Neodiprion lecontei: one gene and its partners. The protein of the gene in region 1 interacts with the protein of each later gene in a biochemical or structural test. Links are inferred from orthologs where the notes say so. Each region holds a gene or a part of one and is shown in the gene's direction. Other genes may lie near its edges.

The links.
Region 2: of the proteins of G1/S-specific cyclin-E (region 1) and E3 ubiquitin-protein ligase ariadne-1, one has a biochemical effect on the other in vitro, tested with the Homo sapiens proteins (3 studies listed by BioGRID). The link is inferred for Neodiprion lecontei from reciprocal best matches to the Homo sapiens genes CCNE1 and ARIH1.
Region 3: of the proteins of G1/S-specific cyclin-E (region 1) and late histone H1-like, one has a biochemical effect on the other in vitro, tested with the Homo sapiens proteins (4 studies listed by BioGRID). The link is inferred for Neodiprion lecontei from reciprocal best matches to the Homo sapiens genes CCNE1 and H1-5.

The regions. Positions count from the first base shown.
Region 1 is NC_060260.1:36,153,327-36,157,081, reverse strand, and holds the start of G1/S-specific cyclin-E, read left to right. Parts: upstream 1-943; 5' UTR 944-1,753; coding exon 1,754-1,767; intron 1,768-2,839; coding exon 2,840-3,488; intron 3,489-3,755. UniProt on the Homo sapiens protein: Essential for the control of the cell cycle at the G1/S (start) transition.
Region 2 is NC_060264.1:27,113,946-27,117,700, forward strand, and holds the start of E3 ubiquitin-protein ligase ariadne-1, read left to right. Parts: upstream 1-874; 5' UTR 875-1,002; exon of another isoform or gene 1,003-1,023; intron 1,024-1,073; exon of another isoform or gene 1,074-1,310; intron 1,311-1,470; exon of another isoform or gene 1,471-1,965; 5' UTR 1,966-2,244; coding exon 2,245-2,454; intron 2,455-3,324; coding exon 3,325-3,498; intron 3,499-3,590; coding exon 3,591-3,656; intron 3,657-3,755. Other genes in the region: serine/threonine-protein kinase ULK3, read right to left, coding at 1-77, 260-346. UniProt on the Homo sapiens protein: E3 ubiquitin-protein ligase, which catalyzes ubiquitination of target proteins together with ubiquitin-conjugating enzyme E2 UBE2L3.
Region 3 is NC_060262.1:40,413,450-40,417,204, reverse strand, and holds late histone H1-like, read left to right. Parts: upstream 1-1,414; 5' UTR 1,415-1,556; coding exon 1,557-2,249; 3' UTR 2,250-3,709; downstream 3,710-3,755. UniProt on the Homo sapiens protein: Histone H1 protein binds to linker DNA between nucleosomes forming the macromolecular structure known as the chromatin fiber. Histones H1 are necessary for the condensation of nucleosome chains into higher-order structured fibers.

The DNA.
Region 1 (3,755 bases):
TCTCGCTTATTTTTTTTCATCTATTCCGACTGCAGTTACTAAGATACTAGAACAGATTCACAGGCCATCTGTTTACGGAGATATGCCGGCAGACGTAGGCGTTCAAAATTCACGCTCGGTCCAAATTTCAAGCCAATGTCACGGGCACTCTAATGTCAAGGGCCTTCCGTGAGAGGATGAATAATGGTCGCAGGATACCCCCAAATTCGTGCTCCGTCTGAAGACCAATAGTTCTACTAATTATATTCCGTAGACAGCGAATACTGTAGCAACCAATACATGTATATTTATAGCATAATAAAAAATTTAAGTAAATAAATTTGTAGCGTGATATGTTGGAATTTGTTCGAGAACTCTAAAAATTTGCCGTCAATTGATGACAACTCAATTTAGTTGAATATATTCTATCGTACTATAAATGACTGCAAACCGACAATCGAAGAATGCAAAATAAATCGCTTACGCAGCTGTTAATGCTGTTATGATGTAACAAGTATCGTGTCCCTAATTGGCGATAATTGCATTCCGGAAAGAAATACATAGCGGTAAAACAAACCTCATTTGATGGATGAAGTTGATGGTAATCTATGGGGAGAAAAATTTCGCGCGCAATTGTACGTGCATAGATTGCATACGAGTATTATCGTTTAACGAATGTAGTTGAATGATTAACTCTGTTGATAAACGACGGGATTGTAAATAGTAATTAATGATAGTGAGTGTGGTCAGTAAAGCCGGTAAAGACCCCACCTAAAGAATTGGGGTACGTGGCAAGATATCCTTTGACATCTCGTTGGCGGGCCGAAGGTATTGCAGGCTGAGTTTACGCGCGATATTTCCCGCGCCCGCATCTATGTGTTCGCTTATGCGTAGTGAGAAGTCGGCTGTGTGTGCGCGGAGAAATCAGCTGAGCGCCAGCTGTCTGCCAGAGTTCGACCAATCCGGGTTGTTCCGAACGATGCACTCCCGGCAAGCGCGTCACACAACCGGTCATTCTCCCGCAAACGCGCGATGGTGTAATACTTGCATTTCGGTGAAAACTGCAATCGTGTTAATTTTCAATCGTAAGATAAAGGTTCACGGATTAGCGGTGGTGCGTTAGAGTGAACTGTGTATGTACTCAGTGACAGAATAGTCGAGAATATTGTGTACGTTGTGAGTGATGAATGTGACCACCATCGGTTCGATTAGGTTGGATTATATTCGCGATTTAACACGAACGCGTCGTTTTTATAAGATAGGATATTGACGTTACTGATTTTGACGTCTTATTCTAAGTGAGGTGAAAATTTTTAGCTTTTTTTTGAGGTTATGTTGTGTGTACAGAGGGCGTGACAGTACCGAGCCGCCGACTAGGGGTTGGCCACCTTTTCGCGCGCTACTCTCCCGCGCTTTGAGAAGAAAACCTCCTCGATATTTCATTAGAAATAAATATTCCAGCCAGTAGGTAGCGGCCCTAACCAATTATGCAAACTTTTAATAATATTGCGAACCATTCCAAGCCCTGGTAAATAATATTTCGACATCAATTTGCCAGAGTCAACGTAGAGACTGTGCATTATGGCGAGTGTGTAAAGTGAACTCTGCATGCACGGACCTCCTGTAATTTTCTATTTTACTCTGGATATTCCATAGTGATTTTTAATTATCCGGTCTCCGAATATTCTATAAGATCCGCTCGATCCGTTAAAAAAATCAATACGCACCTGGATCTTCGTCGTTAGATAAAATACGCCACCAAACGACGAACAAGATGCCACAAACGAGGTAGGTCGACGAACGCCACATTTACACCTCGAAAAATATTTTATCTCACCAATTAATTTAACTCAGATCCCATTTGGATCGTAGTTTAATAATCCATAGAAATTTGCATAAAATTTTTATCAATTTTATATATAAATATTTTATTCCGGTAAGAGGCTCGACTTTCCGAAAGTAAGGTTCTATTTATTTGATTCTCTTATTATTATAACGATTAAACCTTATTAAATTCATCTCTGAGTCTGAACAATGTATTTCCGAAGAAGTTTCTATTCTTCCAACAACGTGGAGGTCACGAAAAATCTTCCTATTGGAGGTGTTCCAGTTACTTGCAAATGGCTGCCATTAAGTGGCTCAGGTTTTTAGGGTGAAAAACCCACTTAACTCACTGCAATAAAACTGAAAATCAATTTGATCGATTACCAAAGTCATTCTCCAAGAAATATCTTCTTTTCATAAATTTCTGACAATTTTTCGATACCTTCAGAGTCGTGGAACCGAACCTTTGACGTCTCTCGTCACTGACACATTTTTTTACAATAACTGTTCAACTTTAATTAGAATTTAAGCAAATATGAGGCGTATTTGTACCAGTGTGTCTTGATGCACAGATCAAACACTAAAAATTTGATTCTGATAAGTAAACATAGTCCAAAATTTAATCGAGAAAGCTCCGCCTTGTTGGATCAGCATTCGCCAATTTGTTGGGTTTTAGAACGTCACCCTTTGCAATTGTATATAAATTTATAATCAGCATCACAGAGTATTCGATATAATGATTGAAACACCAGCTTTTTTATGGAATATTATTAATTTTTCTATTAGTGACATTGCTTGAATATCGTCAAGTCAACTTGATTAAATTTTCAACACCTGATTACCAAAGCCTCGAATATTGGACAACAACATTAAGATTATCTCTACTTGTGCTTTTTCAAGGAAAGTGTAGAAAGAATTACACAGTTTAAAATGTGATTGAACAGGGAATGGATCTCGTAATATCTTAATGTAGAAATGTTGAACAAATTTTTGGCCAATAACAAACGATCTAAAACGAAATATTTCTCACGTTCAGCTTGCAGGAAAAGCAGCCATCACAGATTTATCTGCCAACAAGCAAGCCACAAACTCTGAAACGTAAACGTCGAAACACAGAGATCTCTGAGGATGCAGAAAATATTTACCCACCTAAGAAGGTCCCCTCGATATCTTCTGCTCATACACCATCCAATGAAACTTGCCACTCGACTTCAACTGCAGATGGTCTTCGTACTCCACAGCAGCAGCAGCAGCAGCAACAGCAACAACAGCAACAAACCTCACCTTTAACAGAGCAGCAGGACCCAATTAGCTGGTCCGAACTCAGGAATGCAACTTGTTTCCTGACACCATCTGCGTCCAACGGTGGGCCCAACAGGCCCAGTCCACTTCCTTCCTTTCCTTGGGCGGACGGGTCACAAGTATGGTCGCTGATGTGCCTAGGGGATCAGAAGTCTTTGACTCAAAGGGATCCTCAGATGTTTCAGAGGCATCCCACTCTGCAACCTCGAATGAGAGCTATTCTGTTAGACTGGCTTATCGAGGTCTGCGAAGTTTATAAGTTACACAGGGAGACATATTACTTAGCAATGGATTTCGTTGATAGGTATCTGTCGTCTCATCAAAATGTCCCCAAAAACCAGCTTCAACTTATCGGCATTACTTGCTTGTTCATTGCTTCCAAGGTGAGTTTCTAGTATTGCGGTCACGTTCTAGATCTTTAAAGTCTCATTGCTCATTAATAATTTTTGGCCTGTAAGTTATGCCTTACTTTTATGAATTCACAATTAAGTTTTGGACTGCAGTATTTTGTTTCCAGTATTTTTGTAGTTGCTTGAATTATTTGTAATAAATATTACTGGGTTAACCTACAAATTGGTAACTCGTATGCTTTATTATTTTTCAGGAAATTTATATGGGAATCGGCTTGGCAAATTTTTCTCTAAATTCGA
Region 2 (3,755 bases), on another chromosome or scaffold:
ATTATGTTCTCTATAGCAGACTTTGACAAGGTTGACTTGTCCATCGATTTTATTGCGACCACATCCTTAGATCCACCCTACACAAAGGATTATTAAACTCTCGAAGTTAACGTCGCTATTTTTTGTTCTTTTTTTTTCTTTTCTCATACGTTTTTGCGTCCATTTGATCATTGTTTCTCTCATCACAGCCTTCCATATTGTATACATAATAATACATAACGTAACATAGTATAACATAACCTCAAATGTACACACGCACTTTTTTGAAGGCTTTGTAAACAGTCGCGTAGCTTCCAGAGCCAATCTTCTCGAGGAGCGAGTAATCCTTGATGGTAGGCAGACTCATGTTTGTCCTTATCGAATTTCAACTCGCAATTAACCAGCGAGGTTTCGCGCGTTAGCTGCTCGTCGCGGATGACAGGTACGAGCAGTGCGAAATTGTCCGCATGTTATTAAACGAAAAACGCGTTAATAATCGATCTTCGACTTAGGCGTTTCACGTAGTTGGCGTAAGAAGGCGCCTACCGACGAATCACAAAGCCGTTTATCTGCAGACCGCAGTTCCGCTGCCGCAACTCGCGTCGACGCGCGCGATTTTCCTCTTCTCGTTTCTCGGAGCGGTAGTTTCGTTGTTTTTTTTTCCTCTTGCTTTTCCGTATTTCTTTTCAAAGTTCACAGTGAAATTCTGCGTAAATTTTCGCCTCCACGCTCCTATAATCCCGAGACCCTATCAGCGTCGACGATACCGCGACGATATATCGAGAAGCGAAATAACACTCGATATCAACAGCGGACAGCATCGGTCAGCATCAGCAACACCACTCCGGGATGACGGACGTGACTCCAGCAGTGGTAGCAGAAGTGAAATGAGCTCGTTCGTCGCGTTGCTGTTGCTGCAATGATGGGGCATGGTGGGATGTGGTGCGAAAAAAAAACGGAATGCGAAACGTCACGTCACCAAACCGCGCTCATCATTGGTCCTGACAAATTTAAAACCGTCAGGTATTGGCCGCGGCTTGAAAAGTAGGCGCCCCATATGCTTTCGCATGACAACTTTCCAAACACGCCGTGGCGTGGCGCTAGCCCCCAGACTCGTTCTGCGCGTCTGCCATTAGTGGATCAGCTGCCGAATATAAGCTCGAGTGTTTTTGGCAGCTGATTTGTGTATTCTTAGAGCCGTTGCACGTCGCGATATAGGTTCGATTAATTCTCCAGCCCTTTGTCCTGGAGACGGGACCCCCCGTCGGATCACCCAAGGGGTTAAAATAACGCCGCGACAAGGCCCCCGTGTCTCGATTATCTGTCACTAGGTAAATAATGATACCAAGTGCCGTGCGCTCTCTGCGTGCATATGTATAATATTGGTACACCTACACAAGCATATATTACATACAAGTATGGGTATACACATGTGTGTACCTCCTACGGTACGTTCGTATAAAGTTTCCCGTGATTCTCTGCGCGTTTCAGAACCCAGCACTGCTCGCTACGGTGACGTCATGTGCTGAAAGATCGTCGCTCGCCCGCTCGCTGGTTCTCCGAACAACGAATAACACAGGTGCACGGCACCAGTTTCGCCTAGCTAACCCGTTGCTGCAGTTGACGAATCGCGTTAGCTGCCTTTGTGTCGTTTTCACAACTATTCCCACCGTTCTCTGGGCTCGCAATACAGCGAAATCTAAATTCGTCGGGGGTCATCCCGCGGTAAAGTGCGGATCACACAGAATCCGTTTGTTCGCACATATTCACTAGGTGGTAGGGTTCCCGTCTAATCTCGAGTCGCGAAACTAATCGCGGCATTGTTTCACCCTTTGATTCTATTTAGTTTTGTTCCTTTTGTTTAGTTTTTTTTCCCTTTTATTTATTTTTTCTATTCGTTCAGTCGTACGTACTACCTGTTTTGCTGTTCTCCTACACCTTCAATTCCCATTTGTCATTATACTTATCGAACTGTTTCACAAACAGTTTCGTGCTGGTGTTGGTGAACGGATAAATATCTCAAACCGACGAGAGACACAGACACAGACGCATCTTACAATAAAAAAAAAAGGACAATTGGTCTACGCGCGTGATTTGGAAAATTTATACTCGAAAAATCCATTCGATCGTATCTCTGTTCGCTATCCATCAATCACGACGGCCACGGTGAGCAGAAACGGGAAGAACGTGCAATCAGTCTTCTGAGGAGAAAATCACGCTATAAACAAAGTAGCCCAGCAAAATACATAATAAACCCCGATAATAATGGATTCTGAGGAAGAGACACCCTATGACGACGTTGATTCGGGTAACGAGTCCAGCGGTGATGACGTCGATTTCGCTATGGACATTGAGTCCGGGAATCCCCGCGAACGAGCCACAGATATTGACGATTATCCTTTCGAGGTTTTATCGACCGAAGAGATCGTTCAGCATATGGTGGACTCGATTAAAGACGTAAACACCGTCGTCGAGGTGAGTGATTTCGGTCATTGAATTCGTTCCTCCGCCTTCGCAATCAGTCACGTCAAAACTACACGAGGTTGAATTCAGTAACGTTATCGTAACGAACCATTGCAGAAAAGTCACTATTTTCCTAATTTTACAATGATTTTGAACGAACCAAGATTTCGAAATGTGAGTGTGTTTTGTTTTATTACGGTTTATCGAATTTCAGACTATTTCAAAATCGCGATATAACTGCTTTTCCTCGGCGTGAATCTTTACGATAACGTTACTAACTTCAATGTGATAAAACTACACATATATTTTGCCGTTGACCAAAGAAGAAAAATCACATTTTCTCGGGAACGAAATTACAGAAACCTCTTTATATAAACCTTTTTATCCTCGATAAGTGATCACTGATCTCTAAATCGCGGTCGTTCGTCCTTTGTTTATCTCTCCCAACTCCTATTTTCGATCCACTCGCCGTTTTCAAGACTGCTTCTTTGTCTTCTCCGGATCAGCTGATCGCCTTCATGCTTGCTTGTATGTATTATGCGAGTTGCTGCTGCAATTTCACCTTGCAAGCTATAAGCGTGTTTGTGTTTTCTTTTTTTCCGTCTTTTTTACTCCCCCCACCCTTTCCTTACAATTTTCGCATTTACGAATATCTGGCAAAGGAGAGAGAGAGAGAGTGAGAGTGAGTGAGTGAGTGAGTGAGTGAGTGAGCGAGTGAGTGAGTGAGTGAGTGAGTAAGTGAGGAGTGAGTGAGTGAGGAAACAACTCGTGTATTTTATTTCAATGGAATTGACTACTAGAAATGAATTACCATATTTTTCGAATTTCCTTATTCATTTTGTTGAGTATGCAATTTAACAGGCCTTTTTTGTACCGTTTTAGATACCTGCAACCACGACTAGGATTTTACTTAATCATTTTAAATGGGACAAAGAGAAATTAATGGAACGTTTTTATGACGGTGATCAAGAAAAATTATTTGCAGAAGCACGCGTTATAAATCCTTTTAGAAAAGGACCCGTCATTAACAGGACCAGATCTTCACAAATATCTCTGGTAATTGATGAAAAATCTGTTGAAGAACATTCAACTTTTGTCGTTTCATTCTGTTCAACAACTTTTCAGTTCTTGGTTCTATTGTTTTTCAGTCTCGACGAACTTCTACAAACGGAACGGAAGAGTGCGGCATATGCTTTATGACATTACCATCGTCGGTGAGTGATGCAATTATTGTTTTGAATGACTCAAATCATTCAGAGCATTTTTGCAGCAGTTCTTTCAATCGTTTCAAAGTTTGCAAAAAAATTCTACTT
Region 3 (3,755 bases), on another chromosome or scaffold:
ACTATTGCGATTGAAGTGCACATGTATTTCATCGAGTATTTGTACGATAACAGTCAAGTTGGGGAAAAAAGTGATTAATACACCCGACTGTTAAATTGGTATGAGATGAAGATTGTATATTATCCGGAATAGAGGAACGGACGTCCTACGGATTATCTAGGACAGAATATAACGATACCCAAGGGCTAGCTGCAGAAATCAGGTCATACCGAGTTATCTAGCATATCCGGTATTTCGATATACCGGTTTGAAATGTATGGCAGTAGCGTAACAGTCAGTTAATGGAAAAATACTGCGCATTTGTATACCCGCTCCATTTTTCTTTATTGCAACTACGTCGTCCCAGAAAACAATTTCGCTAACCTTCCCTTGATCAACGCTGACTTCAAGGTCATAAGACGGTTCAAATTCAAACTTAAATCGGACGCATAACATTTATTCGTGAACCATTTATCATACATATACAAAATGTAGAGTTTCTTGGCATACAAGCGTACGTTCCACATTTACACGAGTTTTCAACGATTTAAAGAATCCCTGATTAATCCACCGCAGTGTAATGATTTACTTCTTTCTTTAGCTTTAACAATAAGTAAAAGCCACCTGGCCGTAATTGAGTTGAGAATGTTGTGATTATCAAAATTTCTGGAAATTCGATGCAATACTTCCACCATCAATACATGCAGAAAATTTTCCTTATACACAAATCAGCTGCTCCGCGTAATGTCAAACTACGCAGAACCTCGACTTGCTGGATACCTTGGGCCGGTCCTAGTAGCTTCGCACGGTGTCATTACGTTCAAATTTTCATTAATTAGACATCCGTTACCGTGAATGTGTCCAGAAATTACAATTTCCCGACATTGTCACCCAGGTCGACGTTCCTCGGCACTGCTACCGGGTCGACATTCGTCTGCAAAAAGCAGGTCTAGCTCGTCGTAGACTTAGTCGCGACCTCCCGAATTTCAATCGCTTATATCACGGAGACAAGTGCAGATACGAGGTTCGGCTTTTGCATGGAACTAGAGCAAAGCTTCGAGCTCACACTGGTACATTGGAAAAGATTCGATCGCATCCCCCCAGGTCAGCACCAGGGCGACCGTTGCTCAGGGTGTGGTCGATGTCAAGACGCACGCTTCGCGGAGAGTGATTTTTACAAGGGATCCTTTACCGCGACGGTTCAAAAATCTTGCGTAGTCGATAGAGCATACTTCGTAGTACCTGGTAGCAACAGGAGGTCTTCAGGAGTTCGATGGCGACAGTAAAACACCCGAGGAAATACCGTTCGGTCAGTGTCGCACGCGCGAACGTCGCGAAGCGCACCGCCTAAAACGCGCTCACGGTCTCTCTCCATGGTCCGCGCTATCCTATACTAGCAAACTGTTGCTCAGATTTTTTACGAGTATTATCCATCTCAACTACCAGTGTGATCATACGCGCAAACGCATTAAACAGTATAAACTTTACTTGTGTCTCTGACGGTCTTTCAGCTGTAATTTTCCATTGTCAGTAGTGGTGTTTTGATCATTTCATCGCGACTACTAGATCGATCAGCTATGGGAGACAAATCAGCATCGTCGCCGGCAGTCGCAGCTAACCCTGCAGCTAACAGCCCAGCCGTTCAAGCCGTTCCTGCCAAAAGAGCAGCGGCTTCGCCCAAGTCAAAGAAGCCCCGTGCAAAACCGGCGCACCCACGTACTTCCGAGATGGTGAACGCGGCTATCGCTAGCTTGAAGGAGCGCGGCGGATCGTCTCTCCAGGCAATCAAGAAGTACGTTGCTGTCACGTACAAAATCGACGCGGAGAAACAGGCTCCTTTCATCAAGAAGTACTTGAAGACTGCTGTTACTACGGGAGTATTGTTGCAGACTAAGGGTAAGGGAGCCTCGGGCTCTTTCAAGATCGCGAACGCGAAGACCGACGCCCCGAAAGCAAAGCCGAAGGTACAGCGCGCCGCTGCAAAGCCAGCTGCACCAAAAAAGGCAGCTGTTGCCAAAAGCCCAAAGAAGTTGACCGCCGCCAAAAAATTGGTAGCCGCAAAGAAGCCTGCAGCCGCTACGGAGAAACGCAAGGTTGTCAAGAGCCCGGCCGCAAAACCACCGAAAGTAAAGACTCCGTCGAAAGCAAAGAAAGCAGTCAAGGCACCTACCCGCAAACCGAAGGCTCCGAAGCCGAAGAAGGCTGCTCCAGCTCCAAAGGCGGCCAAACCGGCAGCCAAGAAGGCGGCTGCAGCACCGAAGAAGAAGTGAACAGCTACATTTCGTCACCAACACCAGCAATCGTCAGAAAAATAATTTAAACGGCCCTTCTCAGGGCCATCAATTTATATCTATGCAAATGAATTGACATCGTCGATGCCCTGAACCATATTCCAATAATCCCATATAGGTATATCCCATGGAAAAAACGTCCATAAATTGTAATTTCCTTCGCAGCAGAGGTATTTGTACGACCATAGTGGACGCATAGAGCGTCGGCTTGAGTAAGAATTTGCATTAGGTTTTGCTGTTAGGTAATAGTATCTTGCACAGTTGCAGCTGATTTCCGGGATATTATAATTATTTATTGTTTAGGTCTGAACCATTGTTGGAATTGTAGCGGAATCGTGTTCCGTATATCTGCCGGCGAATGGGAGTCTTAAGTGAGGTGGGCTTCAGTTGCTTGGCAACATTTCAGTGTTCAGACCCTTGCTATTATTATACATGAGCCGAGTGCACAATGCACAATCCCGGAGTTCCTGAAAGACCCCGTAGGAAAAATATCAGCTGCTTGGTTATCGTTATTCAATTCTGACAGCTGCTGTAGCAAAGGTCAAAGGGGTATGTATGGTATGTATTTGTGTAAAATCCTGTTCAATGACGTCGAACATTGTTTTTCGGTATTTTGAAAAAATGAAGATCGATTTTCTCTCAACTGAACATTACTGGTATAACATTGTTTTTTTTTCATTCTCCCCTAAAAAACGAGAAATTGCGCGAATGTCACGGCTTTGTTAGAAGAGGTTAAAAGGCAGTATCGAAATTATCTTGACGAAATACAGTTTAATCTGACAATTATTTCGTTCATCTATAAGATGATGTTTAAGCCAGGGTATCCAGCGATATGAAAATTCAAAATTCCCGTATATTTGCTGTTATTTTTTTCAACCGTATAGCGTTTGTGCATTATGTTGCGATCAACATTGAACACCGTGATATTCAACGGTGTAGAACCGATGAATTCGGGTGGAGTCAAAAATGTAGAAAAATCAGAAAATAAAAAGGTCACACATCGAATTTACAAACACATGAAAGTGTATTTCGTAGGATTTCAAAATATATAAAGCTGAAGTACAAAAAAGTCAAAACGAAAGGTAAAGTATTCTATGTATATCTGGCTGTCTGATGATTGCTCCGATTTTCCGTGAGAAAAAAATGCAAGGTTTGGTATTTGGGGTTTTGCGTGTTGCAGCACGTTGACTCGATGATATAATATATTATAGGGGGTGCCCTGGTCGATTTCGACGTTGCCATATGTATCTCCATCTATCAAAGTCCATGTACCTTAAAAGGACTCAACAGCCACATTCCATATGTATTCACAATTCCGAATAAAACGTTGATTTGATGCAGAAATACAGAAGTGGCACAGATTCTACAATATTGCAATAGTAGATTCGTAGAATTCATGCTGCCTCTTAATTGCGGCATAAAGTGAAAATGTATCGAAGTGATTTTGATCAAAATACGTATAGAATGGAGCACATTGAGCTCTCT